Linked DNA regions of Caenorhabditis elegans. The protein of the gene in region 3 purifies or fractionates together with the protein of the main gene of each other region. This does not show direct contact. Each region holds a gene or a part of one and is shown on either strand. Other genes may lie near its edges.

Region 1 (5,015 bases), on a different chromosome or scaffold from region 3:
CTGAAAAATTGGTGCATTTTAAGGGATTTTACGCAATTTTCCGAACTTTAAACCTAAAATTTCCGATTTTTGTGCAAAATATCGTAAAATATAGTGTTTTGGTGGTGTTTGCGTACTTTCGAGGCTACAGTACCCCCGGTTGTTCAAATTTTCGTTGAGTTTGGGGAAAATTTAGAAAATAATAGATTTAATGTCTAAAATTTCAAACTTTTTGAATTCCCAGCCAGCTAAATTTTTCCCAAAAAAATTGGAAAAATTTTAGGGATTTTACGAAAATTTGCAAGTTATTGCCTAAAACTGGCCGAAATTTACTTTTTTTCGGAATAATTGTAGAAATTTTGTGAATTTTGTGAAGTCAACACCGTTTTTTCCTAAAAAAATGCCAAAAATTTCCCGAAAATCCCCTCTCTGAGCATTTCCCCTGTGACTTGTGCGTTTCTCAGATTTTGGCATAAAAACTGCATTTATTCACATTTTCAGTCTTAAATTAGGCTGAAAATGTGAATAAATACCGTATTTCTGCCAACAATTTGACAATAGAGCACATTTGTCACTCGGAGATGCGGAAGCTATGCCCAAATTTTCATTTTTAAGCCAAAAATTTGGATTTTCACAAATTTTCAGTAGAAAATTCGAATTCTCCATCGATTTCTACCCTAGAACATCCTTCAATAGGCTTCTAGCTCGAATTTTGTTTTCTGGGGTACGGTAGCCCCAAAAGTACGCAAACACCGAGGGCCTCACGACAAAATGCACAACTTTCTTAATTCTTGCGGCTAAGCTCTGAAAAACAGGTTTTCGATGTAAAAAATGGCGAGAAACTCGATTTTTCACAAGAAAAACGCTGAAAATGTTGAAATTTTCAGATTTAATCACCGTAATCGATCTCCTCCATCACTTTCCTCTCGAACATCACGTCATCGGTCCCCGGAACGCCGGCGGGATAGATCACGATCCAGAAGTCTGACATATTCACCAATTGATCGAAAATCCCGAACAAATAGTGATAAATATGATAAGAAACGGGCGAAAAAGAGCAACAGACGGGATAGATCAAGGTTCGGTGATGAAAAATTTGAATTTTTTGAATATACCGCCAAAAAATATTCAAAAATTTGAATTTTTTGAATTTTCCGCCAAAAAATGATCAAAAATTTGAATTTTTGAATTTCCCGCCAAAAAATGATCAAAAATTTGAATTTTTGAATTTCCCGCCAAAAAATGATCAAAAATTTGAATTTTTGAATTTTCCGCCAAAAAATATCCAAAATTTAAATTTTCCGCCGAAAAAAAAACCGATATTTTTTCAGTTCTTCATCATCCGGTTCAACTTCTCCAATTCGACGCGAAAAACGCGAAAAATCCAGGAAATAAATGCATTTTTATTTATTTTTATATTTTTATTCAAATTTAATTTATTATTTTATTCGAAAAATCGATATTTTTTCTGAAAAAATCGATATTTTTCTGAAAAATCGATAATTTTCTGAAAAAAAAAATCGATATTTTTTCTGAAAAATCGATAATTTTCTAAAAAAAATCGAAATTTTTCTGAAAAATCGATAATTTTCTGAAAAAATCGATAATTTTCCAAAAAAAAAATCGATATTTTTTTTGAAAAATCGATATTTTTCCAAAAAAATCGATATTTTTCTGAAAAAATCGATAATTTTCTGAAAAAAATTGATAATTTTCTGAAAAAAATCGATATTTTCTGAAAAAATCGATAATTTTTCTGAAAAAATCGATAATTTTCTCTAAAAATCGATATTTTTCTGAAAAAATCGATAATTTCTGTGGTTTTCAATCAATACTTGTTTCAATTGTGCTTCTTTTTTTTGTAATTCAAAATTAAATTTTTTTTTCTCCGAATTTTTCCAATTTTTTCAGTTTTTTTTTGTTGTTGATTCTCCCTGACTTTGCAATATTTTTTTTTGTTTTACAAAATTATTGATTTTTTCAGAATTTTTTTAAGAAATTTTTTTTCAGCCGTACAATGCCACGTGGCATTGTGCTCACCAACAGTAAACCCGTCGAGGGAATGGTTTACCAAATGGCATTGGTTTTTGATCAAAATTATGAGGTAAAAAACCAGAAAATTCGCAAAATTTCGGTGTTTGCGTACTTTTGGAGCTACAGTACCCCCGAAATTCGAAGAAATTTGAGTGAAAATTTGAATTTCTTTGAAAAATTGGAGCATTTTGAGGAGTTTTGCGCAATTTTCCGGCCTGTAAACCGAAAATTGCCGATTTTTGTGCAAATTGTCGTGAAATCTAGTGTTTTTGTAGTGTTTGCGTACTTTTGGGGCTACAGTACCCCCGAAATTTGTAATTTGAGTGAAAAATCGATTTTTTTTTTTAATTTTTTGAGCATTTTCCTGATTTTTCAGAGGTTTTCCGACCTTTAAACCGAAAATTTCCGATTTTTGTGCAAATTGTCGTGAAATCCAGTGTTTTGGTGGTTTTTGCGTACTTCTGGGCCTGAGATTTTCAGTAAAAACTCGACTTTTTTTTTCGAAAATTGAAAATTTTGCATAATTTTATAATTTTTTTTCAGGAAAACTCGAAAACTAGACATTTTTACGATTTTTCAGTGCTAAATTCGAATTCAGAGCACCAATTTACCCCCATTTTGCATATTTTCACAAAATTTCGGAAAACTGCATTTTGTCGTGGGATGCTCGATGTTTGCGTACTTTTGGCGCTACCGTACCCCGGGAAATTCGAAATTTCGATTTTCCCGATTTTTTAGATATTTTACGCAATTTCCCGACCTTTAAACCGAAAATTTCCGATTTTTGTGCAAATTGTCGTAAAATCTAAAAAAAAATTTCGAAAATTTGCAAGTTTTAACCTAAAACTGCTGGAATTTACTGTTTTTTTCGAAATTATTGTAAAAATTTGGGAATTATCCTCTGAAAAATGGCTCAAAACCGAATTTTTGAGATTTCAAGCTAATTTTTCCGAAAAACTTTTGTTTTCCGAGGTTTTTAACTGGAATTTTGGAAATTTTTGGAAAAAAATACGATTTTTCATCAAAATTTCACGATTTTCGAATTTTTCGCGTTTTCCTAGGCTTCTAGCTCAAATTTGGATTTCCCGGGGTACTGTAGCGCCAAAAGTACGCAAACACCGAGCATCCCACGACAAAATGCACAGTTTTTTGAAAATTTGCGAAAATATGCAAAATAGGGGTAAATTGGTGCTCTGAATTCGAATTTAGCAGTGAAAAATCGTAAAAATTCCGAGTTTTCGAGTTTTTCTATAAAATTTGTAAAATTATATGCACAAATTTTCAATTTTTGAAAAAAAAAAGGTTTTCAGTTCGATTTTCGAATTCCCCAGCCAATTTTACCCCTAAATCGTGTTTTCCCAGCTTTCTATCGCGAAATTTCAATTTTCCGGGTTACTGTAGCCCCAAAAGTACGCAAACACCGAGGATCCCACGACAAATTACACAGTTTCTTAAAATCGAGCGAAACTGTGCAAAATAGGAGTAAAAAAGTGCTCTGAATGCGAATTTCGCAGTGAAAATGCACAAAAATGAGTAGTTTTCAGGCTTCTGGCCTAATTCTGGCCCGAAAAAAACGAAAATTTTCACGCTTTTCAGACCGTAAAGCAGTTTAAAATGATTCCAGTGGTTACACAACGCACAAAAACGAAACAAGTCTCAAATGTGTACAGGTAATCGGAAAAAAAACCGGAAAAAATCGATAATTAAGCGGAAAATGACATTTTCAGTGGAAATATGCGCCTCGAAAAATCAATGCAAATCGACGAGACTCTTGTATTCGGTCAAACAATTGACTGGGAACCAACTGATGATGAAGGAATGTCTGTTGAGGTGAAAATGGAAGAAATTCTGGATTTTTCAGTGAAAATTTGGAGAAAAACGAGTGAAAACCCGCGTTTTTGCGGTGAAAATTCGAAAAAAAAACCGAGTTTTTCGATTTTTTCACTGAAATTTTGGAAAAAATCTAAGAAAAATGACTAAAACTCATCAATTTCTATGAAATTCTGGATTTTTCAGTGAAAATCCCGTTTTTGCGGTGAAAATATCAGAAAAAAACAGTTTTTTTTGAATTTTTTGAATTTCCCGCCAAAAAAATATTCAAAAATTTGAATTTTCCGCTAAAAAATATTTAAAAATTTGAATTTTTTGAATTTTCCGCCAAAAAATATTCAAAATTTTGAATTTTTTGAATTTCCCGCCAAAAAATATTTAACAATTTGAATTTTTTGAATTTCCCGCCAAAAAATATTTAAAAATTTGAATTTTTTGAATTTTCCGCCAAATAATATTCAAAAATTCGCTTTTTTCACTGAAATTTTGAAAAAAGTCTTTTAAAAATTCGTGAAAAATTAAATTTTTCATTGAAAAACCTGAAAAACTACCAAATTTTTCCACTTTTTCGTCGAAAAATGACTAGACACTGAATAATTTTTACATTTTCCACTGAAAATTTGAAAAAAAATCCACGAAATTCCGAATTTTGATGCAAAAATCCGTTAAAAAACTGCAAATTTTTGCAAATTTCATGCAGAAAATTCGAAAAAATCCCCAATTTTCATCCTAAAATTCCATTTTTTTTGCAGATTGTGAGAAAATACAAACGAATCCGCCCGGCCTATGAATCTCGAATTTTCGACGGAGAAACACAGCTTCTACTGCCTGGAATTATGTCCAGAAATCGAGAAGTTCTTTGGATGTGTGATATTTGGCCACAACTCGAAATTAGTACGGGTTTTTCACTGAAAACCCGCCGCGAAAAATGGCTCAAATTCATGGATTTTTCAAAAAATCCCACTGAAAATTCAATTTCCCCCCAAAAAACCTCGAAAATTCGAATTCTCCACGTCTCCAGCTTTCAAATGACCCCTGACATATTCCATGCAATTGCCCATATTCCATGCAATTTGCCCCACCGACACAGCTGAAATCGGTGCTACAGTAACCCGCGTGGCGGGACCCGAAATTTTCAAATTGCGCGGAATATGGGCATGTTGGGGGTCATT
Region 2 (3,535 bases), on a different chromosome or scaffold from region 3:
AAAGCAAAGGTATGTTGATCATGATAACCTTTTTGAAATAATAATATTTGCAGTGCGGATCGGGAGACCAAAATTGACCTCGTGTTCAACAAGTTTGAGAGTGAACAATGATTACTATGTATTGACTTTAAATGAATATTTTTGTTCAGTTTCGTGTAGTTGCTCTTCATGTAAATTACAGGGCTTCTATCATATATCGATTTAACTACATCAGTCCTCATCTCGGTCTATCTGAACTGTGTGATATTAGTGAAACCATTGAATGTATCTAATTTTTGCTAATTAATGTCTTCAGGCCTTTGAATCCTTTCGTTTTGTGTGAGCAAGTTTTCAGATATATTTACAGGCTTTTGGGACAATGCTATGCAGTTCTATGGGGCATTTCAGAACATCTCCACAAGTTTTCGTGGTGGGACCTAAAATTGAAACACCTCGGAAGGCTAGAATGCTTCTAACTAATGACTGAATAATCTATGAAAAAATTATATATAACTGTAGTTCAAAAAAGTTTATTCAGTTAACAAATGCAAGAAATTGTATCACAAAACCATTTGAGGAATGTCTGAAAAATCACTTATAAATTGGCGAGAGAAATTTAAAAAAAAATCTCAATATCACAATCGGGAATATTATTTAGAGTGTGAAGCCTTAAATAGTATCAAAAATAATAGTTTCTCCTTCATAGATAACCTCATCAAGTTCAACATCAGTTTCAGAAATAGGAATTGTACCAATAATTTGCTCACGAAGAGCCAATCCTATCTTTTTTGGGGAGTTTTCTGGAAAATGTTTGTGATGAGTGGAGAAGAAGCGATCGTAATATCCTTTTCCATGACCACAACGAAGTCCATATGGTGAGAAGGCAACGCCGGGTGCAAGGATCAAATCCAGTGGTCCTGTAAGTACTTATAAATTGGAGTTATATTATTAAAAAGCAGTCACACCTGTTTCATGATAGCTTTGCCATTTCCATTTCGGTTCTGGCTGTCTGATTCCCCAAAGTGTTGAAGGAAGATTGTCAAAAGCAGTTTGATCCGGAACTCGAACCATATCCATTGCAGTTGAGCCCTTCGTGAACTGAAATTTTTACATTTGTGACTTCAATAAATTATACTTGCTGTACGTGCCTGTCTCCCTGGATTCATATATAATATCTGCCTAGGTACTAATTGCCTGCCTACTACAAACGATTACAGCCTTCATGTCTAGGGGCCTACTTTACGCCTACCTCGCAAGTGCCTTAGTTCTGCCTGGCTACGTGCCTGCCTGCCTTTATTCATAGCTCATATCTGCCTACTTCTTGTCGGCCTACCTGCTTTATTTCTGCCTGCCTATGTGCCTACCTACATGCCTACATCTTAACATCTATTGCGCATCTGTTTCAAAATAAATTTTACCTGTGGAATGAAAACTTCTTTTCCCATTTCCAACGCTTTTTGAATAATCGAATCAGTTTGTATTTCTCCCGATGTACTAACATAAACTGACAATCTCTTGCTCTCTTGAAACCATTTCGATTCAATTATTTTTTCAAAAACCGCCTCTGTTTGACGTTGAGTTTCTTCTTTCGAAATTTTTCCGAGCAATGTCTTCATAAACTGCCTGAGCTCTGATTTTACCTCTTTTATAGCACTCATCTGAAAATGTTGGTCAAAAATTTGTTTTCAAGAGATTCAGAAAACTGTTAGTGGCCTGTAGTTAATGGCTCGTTATTCAAATTAAGTTAAATACACAGTAATAGGCATAAATTACAAAATTTATTATGCACATGGAAATGTTTTGCCTTTCAATATGGTAAAATGCACGTAAGAATGATAAAGCTTGAATATGATTAAAACTTTGAAATAAAGCTTTTGATATCGTCAGGGATCGGTGGAATTTCTGGTTTCTCCTCGGGGTTCGTGAGTTTCACATTGAGAAGGCGAACTCGTAGCTCCATTTTCAGCATTCGTTCAACCATTGCATCGGTTTCACTGAAAATATTTCAATTGGTATTTTCGGGGCTTCCTATTCTTCAGGTTACTGTAACTACAGTAACCAATGTCTAGATACCTTTTAACTGCCTTGCTCCCAATCAATTCAGCAAGACCTTCAAGCCATATAACAGATTGAGTTTCATCGGATGTCAATGCCATTAAAACTTCGCCTTCTTTCATATCATTTGTTGTTTTTAATTGTACACGAATCCCTCTTAACATTTGTGTAGATGGAGAAGAAGTGAATCGAGATGAGCTTGCTTTTCTATCAATCTCATCATTATTTGTTACATCAGCAATATCTTTGATCCAAACTGAAAATAAATTAATTTATTATTTGAGAACTAATTCAATATTCCCCCAACCTTGCCGAATATCATCTCTCTGCACACCTTCCACATAGTTCTCACCATCACATCCAGTTATAGTGAGCATTTTCTCCGATGCATCGAGCTTCCAATGCCAGAAGGCGAGCTTTGCGAGGGATTTACTTTTCTGTGGTTTTCGAAAAACGGCGCCTAACTTCAAATAGTTTAGATGATTTATTCGAACCAATTCCTCCATTTTTGGCCGCAATTTCGATTTTAGTTGTCTGAAAATATGTATACGAATAAGTTATTGGAATTTTCAGACTTACATCACAGCTTCACTATGTAATTGAATATTTTCCTTTCCCAATTGTTCCTCTCTCCAAATTTCTTGCATTGCCCTATACGAAAAAGTCTCCAAATCCGCAGATAGTTCTTCTACATCTTGTATTTCCCGTCTTTTCAGCACATGCCGTAACTGTTCCAGTACAACACACGCAACTTTCTCCATTTCACCTCCTTTTGCCTGCATCTCACGCCATGTTCGATGGAAAAGGTGTACAATACATGCGAATACAGCTGGAAATGGAGTCTCCGTGGAAAAGAGAACTACAATCAAACGATCCAACTCATCACGACCAGGTATTACTCTGAACAATTCTGCGGCAATGTCACAGCACCTGAATTTAAAAAATCATCAGAACATCTTTACGTTTGCAAAAAAACCTCATCCACATTGGAATCAGTTGCCATTTTCCTCCTTCAATCCTCATTGTATTCTCCGAAATTAGCATTCTCAGATCTTGCGGACTTTTTTCTGCAAATTGAACCATCGAAATTGCAGCCAACCGTCCACATCGGTGTTCCCCAATTTGTGATTTCCACATTTCTCTGATCTCCTCGGAAACATCCTCACTGGATTCAATATCAAGAATTTTCTGAACTTCAGCATCAGTAGGAGGTGAAGTTTCATATGCACTAATCAGACTCCTTTGAACCTCAACAAGTTGTTCAATAGCATTCAGATTTCGAACACCACCACCACCACGTAGAAGAGAACTGTGTACAGCATTACGGAATGGAACGACTTCTAAAGATTTAATAAGTTCAAATCGTTTTTCATCATCAGGACATCTTCTTATCATTGAATTCATTAGTGAAAGTGCACAAAGAGCAATTCGTTCATCTGATTTTTCAACGTGTCGAATGAGAGTCTCTATTGGAACTTCTTCGAGAATCCAATCACGAGTT
Region 3 (7,665 bases):
ACTTTATTGTAGATTATTTTCTTTTCTTCCAAATCACTGTATGAATGGATCTTGGGGGCAAATTCAGCACAATAGAGAATCCTGTTGAACTGTCAACTATACGTGTCAATAATGAGTTGGACGCTTTTGATAAAATAACTGTAGCTCGTCTTCCACCTTCAATCACAACACTTGTAGCTGAGACAGCCAGGTTTCCCTCGATCTTTGTGAACACACGAGTAGATCCACGTGGAAGGAATTTACTAAAAAAAAGTATGTTTTCAGAATCATAAGGTTAATAAACCTAAAGTGGCCCAATGCATAGAACATTGGTTGTTTGTAAAACTCTTGAGCAGTTCGGTTGACAATGATTGGGGAATCTACAACATTGTAGGCCCAATTTGGCCCACCAGTTTCATCAAGGCAAAGATTCCAGTCAGTCCATCCCGTAACGTGATGATTAAGATCAGTGATGATATCATCTGCATAACTTTCTGCGCGGAACCAGTCTCCCATTATTGGACCATGATGTCCAAAGTAGCCAGCACATGCCTGAAACAAGCTGGCTGAAATATACTCTCCAGGATGTCTGAGTTTGAACTAAATATGCGCTGATAACAAGCAAAGCTAGGTGCTGATGAGTTTTACAAAAACCAAGGTTCAAGTGCAACGGGCATTTGGATTAGACACTTTTTGTATTAAGTTTGATTATAATAATTTGTAATCATCAAATCATGGCAGCATAACATCTTAACATACCTAAAATGTCCCATTGCATAGAACATTGGTTGTTTGTAGAACTCTTGCCCTGTACGATTTACAATAATTGGAGAATCAACAAAGTTATCAACCCAAGTCGGGCCGCCCATGTCGTCCAGACATAAGTTCCAATCGGTCCATCCAGTAAAGTGGTGGTTTAAGTCACTGATAATATCAGATGCATAATTTTCTGCCGTAAACCAGTCACCCATTAATGGGCCATGATGAATAGCGTAACCCGCGCATGCCTGCAGAAAACTTGAAAACTAAGAATGTACAGTCATTTTTTTTTGCATCAATACTTTCATGAATAACCATATTCATGGTATTCAATCTTACCTCGGTTCCAAAAATAAATTTGGTTGGATGATGCCTTTGAGTAATATCAAGAAGAACAGCAGGAGAATACAAGTTACCATACCAGTGAACTGCTACACCATCTGCATATTTGGTTGCTTCCGGGTCATTGAAAATAGTGTCAGCCCATCCAGGGAGTAATCCTCTTCCATCATCCAAAACCATAACTTTCAAAGTTTCCGTTAGTTTATTTTCTTTCAGTTTTGGGCCAAGATATTTTTTTAGAAAATCTCGCATCGTTTCTGCTGTATAATTCATAGTCTGCCATCTCCATGCCATGTCAGCTCCTGTTGATGGCTCATTTTGAATTGTTAGTCCCCAAAAGGTAATTGCATGAGATGAATAGGCTTCGAAAAATCTTTTAAAAATAATAATTCAGTGTTTTCGAATAAACACAAAAACTTACTTAAAAAAATAATCAGCGTACGCTTGATAAACACGCTTATCATTTCTCATAGCTCCTCCGCCCCTCATGCGTCCAGTAACTTTCATCCATCCAGGAGCTGACCATGGACTGGCAAATAATTGAATGTTTCCTTCAGTTTTTTCAATTGCTTTCTTGATAAATGGAATCTGAAAGTTTCAGTCTTTTTTTTGAAGTTTTGCCGTTTATTAAAATTACCTTTAGTTTTAAATCTTCATCAGGTAATGCAAAATGTTTTAATTCAAAATCATCATGAACGTCATCATAGCTATATTCATGAGTAGAAAAATCACAACTGGCTATTGGAACTCTTCCTATATTATATTCTAATCCATTTTTTCCAAAATATGAATCAACGATATAATTTTGAAGTGTCTCCGATAAGGAAACAAATTGATCGCCGGCAGAATCAGTAAATGCTCCTCCAAAACCAAAAATATTTTGAAATCTTTCACTGGCATCTATTGTAATTGTCACATTAACTATAAAACATTTAATAATTGGAGGATGATTTGCACCTCGGAAATGTGTTAGATAAGTATTCTTACCTGATTCATTTTTTCTCAATTTCTCTTTCATTTTCATACTCATGCGTTTCAATCTATCGCCGTCCAAACTTGATCTATAAACAATTGCCTTCCCTTCAGCTATCTCTCCTATTGGCTCAATTTCATCGCAAAACGTTGCGTTGCAAACACAAACAATGTTGAGAAACGCGCCGTCATAGGTTTTTGGGTTGCATTGAAAAGAAGCATGACCTAAAAGAATATTAATACTGAACGGTAAATCATTCTCACTTTATTCATTGTTTGGGAAACTCAAAACTACCTCCCCACACCTAAAACCGAATATCATTAAAAGACTTCTCAAAAATTTATCTATGATTTTTTGGAGCCATTAAAACCGAAAACTTATTATGAAGTCTCATTAGGGAATGCAATTTTTAGTCAGTGTGGGTTTTTTTTTAAATTTAATCCAAAGCAATTTAGCCTTAGAACGTTTTTTTTAAAGAATAGTCCAAGTGAAACCTGTTTTTAAATTTTTTTATGATCTAGTTTTTTTAATAAACTAGAGATTTTCTTTCATGAATTTCTCACATTTTTCATTCAAACAGAAAAAAAACGCTGATTGTAAATCAACCAAATATAAACATACCGATTTCAAACATAAAACTTAATAGGCACAAAATAACGACCTTCCATCTTGACATTATTGGAAACTACTGACGACTGCAGGGCTCGAATGAACAGTTGCTCTTTACTTCCCATGATTTATCTTATCAATTTCTTGGCCAAGATGACCATTGTGTAACTTTTCTTGTGTTTGGGGCAATGTTTAACATGTTATAGTAACAAAATTATAAACTTAGCTCTGATAGGAAACGGATTATATTAATAAATTATAACTGTAAAAGTGTATTTCACAATGTTCCTATGATTTATTAAACTTTTCATAAAAAATTTCAATTCCGATTATATTATACGGTTTTTTTTGTTTTTGCTCTGTTACATGGTTTTAACAACCTATTTCAAATTTTCCGAGACTGCAAAAATTTTAAATAAGAAGAAAAACTATCAATTTATAGTGAAAGTTTTAAGTTTCAACGATGTTTGTTAGTATTAAGTATCAAGGTTTATTGAAAAGTGTCTAAAAATCAAAAAAAAAGATGCTTCAACTGGAAAAAAATCAACTGGTAATTCATTTACTCATAGTCAGGAATTCAAACTTATTTCAGACATTCTTTGGTTGAATCATTTTTTTAAATCGATAGAATACTATTAAAGAATCGATGAATGTTTACAATTAACCCTTTATTTTTTAATAATAAACCAACAGTTTTTACAACTAATCGTATCAATTTGGACGTGACACACAAATGTTTTTTCATAAAATAACACTTGAAAAACACGTTTAGCTGAAAATAATACTTTCCCGTGAACTAATAAAAACAAAAATTGGTACTGCAACCAATTAAACTACCTATAAAAGTAAAAAGGTCTCCAGGAACAGAGGTCATTTAAAGTTAATATGTCTTCTTTATTATTATTGTTAGTACTTGTCATGTTTTTCACTCTGGCATCATGCCAAGATGATAATTTTGAAGGTGAACGTTGTAATGACGTTATTTTGTATGATATTATAAAAAAGGTGGGTTGAAACAGTTTTAAAATAATTATTCCGTATTCTTAGGCCTCCAAAAAGACTGACGATCCGGTAATAATACGAAGAACTTCAATGGACACAATGCAAAATGTGTTTCCTTTGGCAAGAAGTATGGGATGTATTTGTACCGATCGAAACTTCCAATTTCCTGATTTCACAAATCACAGATACTGTTCTGTTAGAGTTTCAAATTTCAGGTGTCATGCAATTGTCTTTTAGCTACTAAATTTACATTTAATCTTTGATTTTGATGTATTTTATCATTGTTTCCGTACATGTGATATCATTATGACCTACAAACCTATATATTTATTCGTTTCTGTTTCTCGTCATTCACACCAATTTTGACTTATACCACGCACCTTTAAGATGAAAATTTTGCGAATTTTTTCATTCATTTCTGTTTTTGTTATTATGGATTGTTGCAAATTCAACGCTCAAGTAAGATCGGAAACAGATAGGGATGTATGGGCCCAGTTCACCTGGTTCAACAAAACGGATTCCGAAATTTTTAAATTTTCGAAGTATGGGGAAACAAAGAATTTTACAATCACTGGAACTATATGCAACTTGTCTCCAACAATTTTAAAAGTAAGTTTAATGCCCGCTAGTGTATATGGGGTGGGCGGCAATTGCCGAATTATCAAGAAAAAATTATCAAATCCGCAAAAATTATCAAAAAAAAATTCAATTCTCCTTTATGAAAATTTTCGCGGGTTGGAAAATTATATATCTCTACGACAAAAACACTTACTACATATACTTCCTTTTACGTTCAATTTTCGTCATTTTTTTTTCTGTATTTTACAAATTTTTCTGTTTAGTTATTATACCACAGCAGTTGTTGTCTCATAGTCAGTTTTTTTTACACTTCAGTAACAAACAATATGCAAGAAAAAATAACACGTTACAGTGTTATTTAATTTAATTTATTTACGCTCGCGAGGAGACGTGGAAAAAGTTGAAGAAAAAAGAAAAATGTACACATATAATAGATCAATCATGAATTTTTGACTTGACGATTTTTTAGAACAGTTGCGTGAAATGTGAAATATGTTTTTATCATGCCAATTTTAACTTTTCAGTCGTGGGAACAGTTTCCTAAGAAAGGAGTAAATCCAGTTGGACAAACGTCGGCTCATCTGGAAGGGATGGGCGGCACAATATACTATAAAGTATTCCCGAAAGATGGACCAGCTGCTGTTAGATCCGAAGGAATGCTATGTTCCTGGGGTCAGTGCCGTCTTGGAAAATGATTTCAAGCATCAAGTTATCATATTCTTATTTTAAACCGTTCTTTATGATTCAAAAAGTATATAAATTGAACTTTAAATCGAATTACTATCTATCTTCTTTCCGTTCCGTCTTTTTTTTCCGCACAGTCTCTTCTTAATTGCTTTTCACGTTCAACATTGGGCGCCCCTCAAAAAAAAGTTTTGTGTAATAAATGATCTCGAAACTTCCAATATGTTTCCACATGACCCAAAAAGCGAAACCAATTGGTATTTTAATTGTCGGCAGAGTGGGTGATTGTGACAGTTATTTTTTAATGGCAGAAAAAAGAAAAAAAGTTGAAATGGAACTGGTTAGAAACCAAAAACAATCAACTCTTGGCTCTGCAGTATTTCAAAATAGAAAAAAAAAACAAAAATGAGTATTCATTAGCCGTAAAGCTGGGAAAGTTAAATTATATTGATTACTTCAATCAAAATGGCATCGGAAAAACGAAAATTCTCCCGAAACATATTGAAAAATCTGTAAAAAAATTTAAATGACCTTTCAAAATTTTAGGAAAACCTCAAATTTTGTTAACACTTCTGTGTCGCAGAGGTGGTGTGATATTTGATTTTTTTAATGGCATAAAACAGTGTAAAAAAACTTGAAAAATCTAATATTTTCAAATCCAAATAAACCTATACATATTTTTTTTTAAATATCGAAATTGATTCATCTGTCAAGTATCATAATTGAGCACACTATTCCAGGTTACCAATATGAGTTCACTCCACTGGTTTTGTCAAATTTTAAGCAAGAATCTATATATGGAAACGTCATCGTAGATATACTATTTGACTTTTTTTGTTGATGATTTAATCTTATCAATTATTGAGACTAACATATCTTCATATCGCTTCTTCCTTTTTAGAAAACAGTTCAGTTCGCCGATTTCTTTTGGTTTTCGATGGCCCGAAAATTTTAATCGGGAATAGATCAAAATTGACCTTGGAATCATAAACAGTTTAGGACATTGGCAAATGAAAATTGGATGGAAAACCACAAAAAAAAATCACTCAATGATCACAAACCTTTTTCTTCAGACCTCTCAAGTCCGAATACTATTTTACTGGAACGAACACTGAAGAAGGCCATCCATCTTCTTGAGATGAAAATGAAATTGAAAAAGAAGAACAAACAAGTGCAAAACTGTAAAAGATTGAAGTTAAGTAAATGAAATTTGAAGAAATAGAGATTGGTTCAGACTGAATTTGTTTCAAAATGTACTTTTTGATTTAAGATAAGAAGTTAAAAAAATTCTGATAAATTGATAAACAAAAAAACCAGATGCTGACTTAAGATTGAGTAGAGAGAAACGATGGAATTGTAAAATGGTTGATCATGGTACTGTGGTTTTATATTAGAAAAATGTGTAAGAATGAATTATTAATTGAAATTTTTTTTATTTGCATAACATAAACAAGTTTAAAAATCGTAAAAACAGTTTTAAACCTCTAATACAAAATTGTTGACAATTGTTATACTCTTTTCTTCTAGTCTGTGTTGTTGTGATATTATATGATGTTAAAATGAGAATCGCATGATGCTGATGATTTATAATTAGGAAAATGATTTCTTTATAACCAGTAAAGATAGTAACCATTATGAAGGCGGATTAATGTATGGTCTTTTCAATATAATCTTCTGCAGCTAAAATTTTTTGTGGCATTTGGCGTCAAAAAATATATTATCTTTAAAGGGAAATATCTACATTTGCATGTGCTTCACCGACAAGTAATTCAGAATATCTTCAAAACGAAAAAAAATATTTTTTACAAACATCAATACGATCTTTGAAAGTTTGAAAAGCCGATGAATTCTCACTCCTGTTTTTTCAAAAGAAACCAGATGTTACTTAGTCTTTGGTTTATATAGTTCTTCTCCATATAACTTATTTCACCTCAAAGGTAGTTGAAAGTTATAAGGTTTTGGGGTTATAGTGAGTTTCAAGTAGTTTTTGTCCTTGTTACCATGTTTCACAATTCCTTTGAACAGTTTCATAATAAATTTTAGCAGCTTTCAAACAGTTCCGGGTGCATCGTTTTTTTATCCGATCTACCTGATGTTTCGAAAAAACAAACGTAAACAGTCTTTCCTATGTCCACTACTGTTCCGTGTTTGCGTCTCATTATCTTTCTCGCTATTACGTCGCCTGACCTCTTCATCTCGACCTTTGAAACCGGTTGCGCAACGCCGTAAACTTTTTCTGTGATCGGTGGCAACCCCAAAAAGCGATTGAAAAAGTGAAGAATCGAGAAAGGAAGGAAAGACATGAAGAAAAGTTCTAGGAAACAGAAACCCCAACAAAAACGGGTGGGAGGGATCGGCCTCGACGAAATTGGCGATGACAACGACGGCACCATCCAACCGTTTATAAGGACGACGGGTCATGGTTGAATCGGCACAAACATAAATTCTTCTGCAAATTCATTTCTTCTTCTTTACAGTTTTCTTAGTCCTTGCATTTCTTCTCTTCGTTACAATCATATCAGAGCTTTATATTTTTAGGTAACCATGAGAATAATCATTGTTGCTGGTCTTATCGCCTTGGCTCTTGCCCATCCGAGTGAGTTTTCTTGAAACTATTTTAAACCGAAGATAGTAAACCGTTATTATTTGTTTAATACAAATTTTTCATCAAATAAAATTTATTCGTTTAATTACTCATTAACTCAAAACTAAAACTTTTTAGGCTTCTGACTGATTTT
Region 4 (3,006 bases), on a different chromosome or scaffold from region 3:
ATCTTATGTTTTTGAAATTGCACTGCAACCTGTGAAGATCTATAAGTGCTTGAAAACAGGAAAATGGGCAGGATCACCAGAGAATTGTATTTGTAAGTTTTGAAGTATAAATTGTTTAAAAACAAATGTGTGACTTTTTCAGATGGAAAGAGTGAACTAAAATTGCCAACAAGACTTTAATGATTTGTTAAAATTTTAAATCTATGTCCGGAAATAAATTAATTTGTGTTACTCTGAGAAACTTGACAATTAAAGTTTGTGAATATATTGAATACATCGGTAAAATATTTATTTAGCTTAGGCACCGAAACGCCTAATTTTAGAGGCGTAGGTCAACTTAAAGGCAAGTAACTTGTAGTGCACTTTTGTTGTTCAAAATATTCTGAAAAATGTTTAAATGTGATCTTTTAGGGTATTCAGACACAATCATTATGCATTTCGGTTCCAATTAATGGTTTTTTCTTCATAAATTTCAGTCAAAACTTGGGAAAAATATTTTTTTTTAAATGAATGTACTGTGAAGTTTAGTATTTATTTTATTACTCATTTTCCTATTTTTGAAAGAAAAATATATTTTATTCCAAATACTCAATAAACAATCCAAACTCCGCCAGTAGATCTCATGATACAACCAATATTGTCATATTTATCGGATTTCTTATCAACTTTCCACATTTGAGAAGAAGTGTCGCATACAAGAGACGCCGAGATTGAAGATGAACCTTTTTTGATCTCGAAAAAGTATATTTTTAAAATTCAAAAAAGTTTTCTCACGACTAAAGGCTTTGTATCTGCCTGTTCCGTTAAATTTCCAGAAATTCCAACTGCAACATATCCACTCCCATTAGTGTCAATTTGACAAAGCACTGAAACTGGTTCAGAACATTTAAAGTCTTCTTTTGTAACATTTGTCATAGCGGAAAATGAATAAGCCGGGAATTGGCAACATTCTGGAACTAATAGATATAGTTAAATTAAAAATGTTTTTATGTTTCCTACTTTTTCCCAAAATTGAAACAGGAAGTGGTAACAGAACCAAAGCGAATAAATAATTCATGTTTTTGCAGTGAATTTTCTTCAAAATTTTGGTTTTATAGCATCTATTTGAACACATTCTATTATGGAATTTGAAACAAAAAAAGCTGACGCACAGCGATGACTAATCGTGTTCAAATGAAAATTATTGAAACGAACAGATTGAACAGAAATTCAACGGAAAAACAAAGTTGAACTTTCCATACTGAAAATTTTTAAAACATACATAAATTCAAACTTTCCTCAAAACAAAATTGGAGTTCTGTTTATACAAGTGCTCTTTACTGTAAGCATATTTTTTTGCGAAATCATACAAGTAATTAATCGGAATGCATTTTTCCATATCATGAATTTGAAGGAAATCTCGCCGCACCTGCTGCTGCAAATCGGTGAGCATTATAAAACCTTTTGCGTCCAGTGGTCGTAAGTCATACATAACAAACCGACCACACCTCGTTTCCAACACACAATCGGATATACCAAGTTTAGACAAAGAGGATTCAAGTCATTGTATTATGCCTTTGCCAATGAACAGAGAAGAGATATCAAGCGGCCTCTTGTGGGTTAAATGTAAACCATTTGAAAACGTTTTAAAAGCTGAAATTTTGAAGAGAGCAAAAGAATGAAACTTGCAAAATTCATTCATTAAATAAGATCAAGCAGGGCTCTATGGATTGTACTCGAGGGTTTTCTTATCAAGCCTTCTTTGGGTTGAACTCGGTTGGGAGTGGACCTCTACCTCCACCAAATTTGGTGCACTTTTAAACCTAAACATTTTTAACAAGAGAAAAAACAACGAGCTTTCAAAATTCATTTATTGAGCAAGGTCGAAGAGGGCTCTATGGGTTGTACTCAATTGGAAGGTTCTTGCGACGAACCATACCGTCTCCTTGGAACCATTCACGGCGGAATTGCTTTGCAGCTCCATCCGGGGTGTTGGTCCACTCAACAGTAATACGGTCGTTGTTAGTGTCCTACTGTCCAAAGGCGAAGGCATCACAGGAAACAGCAAGAAGGACTGCTTCCTTTGGGTCCAAAACTCCACATGGTGGATCAACTCCAAGTCTCTTCATATTGGTGGTCTTGATACCGTATCCAATACGGCGAGCCGAGGAGTTGATCACCTTGATGTGGTAGGTGTGCTTGTCATCGTATGGTGCATTGAAGACGATCTTCGTACCCGGCTGGGTCTGGATATCTCCTGGTGGGACGGATTGGGCACTGGCGACTTCTTTGTAGAGTGTGGAAACTTACAGTGAAGATTATGGTAAACTCTGCTCAATTTATAGCAAATTTCTCTCTTATCTTTGTCCCAGATCTTTACAATAGCCACGTCACATAAAGTTCAGAAAGTTAATAAATTAATTTAATGATTTTTAAAATCCGTGAAAGAGTTAAATTTTAGGAATGATTTTGAAAATATATTTTTAATCTATTGCCGCACAGGTCTTTGGCTTCAGCATAACTATGCATGAAAAAACATGAAAAACCCATCTTACTCTGTTCGGCCCTATCAAAAATCTCTAAAAAATGTTTCACTAGATATTTTTCAAATTTTTTGAATATTCCGACAAGAAAGCATCTCATTTCATATCTTCAATTTGACGGAAGTTTAGTTATAAGTTCCAAAGTAGTTTTAAAGTTCAAGGCAAAAATTTAATCGGATATTAATATGACCTTTTTCCTGTTTGTAAACGTTTGTTTTTCAAACATCTCCTTTTTTCAGGAACTGATCTTTGGGTTGATAACACATTTTGAATTTTCAAAATCCAAATCCTTACCATGATATTCAACGAAATTCTCAGCAAAAAAATAACCAAAAATAAAAACTCAATTTTTGATTCAATTTAACTTTTGAAGATTTCAGGTGATTTTATTTTCAGGGTCTTATATATTTCCCCAACATCTTCCACCTGCTAAGTTGGCTAACCAATTTCCTTTTTTTCAGTAAAAAATGTTGATGCCCACGCC

The links.
Region 1: the proteins of gba-3 (region 3) and rexd-1 fractionate together in Caenorhabditis elegans (co-fractionation; one large-scale study listed by BioGRID). This does not show direct contact.
Region 2: the proteins of gba-3 (region 3) and Y106G6E.4 fractionate together in Caenorhabditis elegans (co-fractionation; one large-scale study listed by BioGRID). This does not show direct contact.
Region 4: the proteins of gba-3 (region 3) and F59A6.12 fractionate together in Caenorhabditis elegans (co-fractionation; one large-scale study listed by BioGRID). This does not show direct contact.

Annotation. Positions count from the first base shown.
Region 1 is NC_003281.10:1,832,524-1,837,538, forward strand, and holds the start of rexd-1 (Minor tail protein), read left to right. Parts: upstream 1-1,989; 5' UTR 1,990-1,996; coding exon 1,997-2,083; intron 2,084-3,609; coding exon 3,610-3,683; intron 3,684-3,740; coding exon 3,741-3,843; intron 3,844-4,595; coding exon 4,596-4,737; intron 4,738-5,015. Other genes in the region: Y39A3CL.7 (uncharacterized protein), read left to right, coding at 867-1,058, 1,311-1,374.
Region 2 is NC_003279.8:10,221,142-10,224,676, forward strand, and holds Y106G6E.4 (putative 5-formyltetrahydrofolate cyclo-ligase), read right to left. Parts: upstream 1,638-3,535; coding exon 1,398-1,637; intron 1,078-1,397; coding exon 945-1,077; intron 897-944; coding exon 649-896; 3' UTR 501-648; downstream 1-500. Other genes in the region: ced-12 (Cell death abnormality protein 12), read right to left, coding at 1,832-1,973, 2,053-2,290, 2,342-2,568, 2,614-2,964, 3,011-3,535. UniProt on the Caenorhabditis elegans protein: Contributes to tetrahydrofolate metabolism. Helps regulate carbon flow through the folate-dependent one-carbon metabolic network that supplies carbon for the biosynthesis of purines, thymidine and amino acids.
Region 3 is NC_003282.8:17,471,721-17,479,385, reverse strand, and holds gba-3 (Putative glucosylceramidase 3), read right to left. Parts: upstream 6,053-7,665; coding exon 5,989-6,052; exon of another isoform or gene 5,964-5,988; intron 5,144-5,963; exon of another isoform or gene 4,939-5,143; coding exon of another isoform or gene 4,768-4,938; intron 4,274-4,767; coding exon of another isoform or gene 4,052-4,273; exon of another isoform or gene 3,902-4,051; coding exon of another isoform or gene 3,710-3,901; intron 3,668-3,709; coding exon of another isoform or gene 3,548-3,667; exon of another isoform or gene 3,543-3,547; intron 2,883-3,542; exon of another isoform or gene 2,862-2,882; intron 2,779-2,861; exon of another isoform or gene 2,730-2,778; coding exon of another isoform or gene 2,675-2,729; intron 2,278-2,674; coding exon 2,068-2,277; intron 2,002-2,067; coding exon 1,718-2,001; intron 1,669-1,717; coding exon 1,502-1,668; intron 1,454-1,501; coding exon 1,078-1,453; intron 987-1,077; coding exon of another isoform or gene 739-986; intron 532-738; coding exon 284-531; intron 243-283; coding exon 14-242; downstream 1-13. Other genes in the region: grl-24 (Ground-like domain-containing protein), read left to right, coding at 3,548-3,667, 3,710-3,901; F11E6.9 (TransThyretin-Related family domain), read left to right, coding at 4,052-4,273, 4,768-4,938; epic-1 (Ascaris suum EPICuticlin protein related), read left to right, coding at 7,472-7,523. UniProt on the Caenorhabditis elegans protein: Glucosylceramidase that catalyzes the hydrolysis of glucosylceramides into free ceramides and glucose. C.elegans contain specific sphingoid bases, which are unique or different in structure compared to the sphingoid bases found in other animals.
Region 4 is NC_003280.10:5,011,000-5,014,005, forward strand, and holds F59A6.12 (C6 domain-containing protein), read right to left. Parts: upstream 1,080-3,006; 5' UTR 1,058-1,079; coding exon 1,000-1,057; intron 951-999; coding exon 775-950; intron 733-774; coding exon 589-732; 3' UTR 524-588; downstream 1-523. Other genes in the region: F59A6.3 (Sushi domain-containing protein), read left to right, coding at 1-92, 143-180.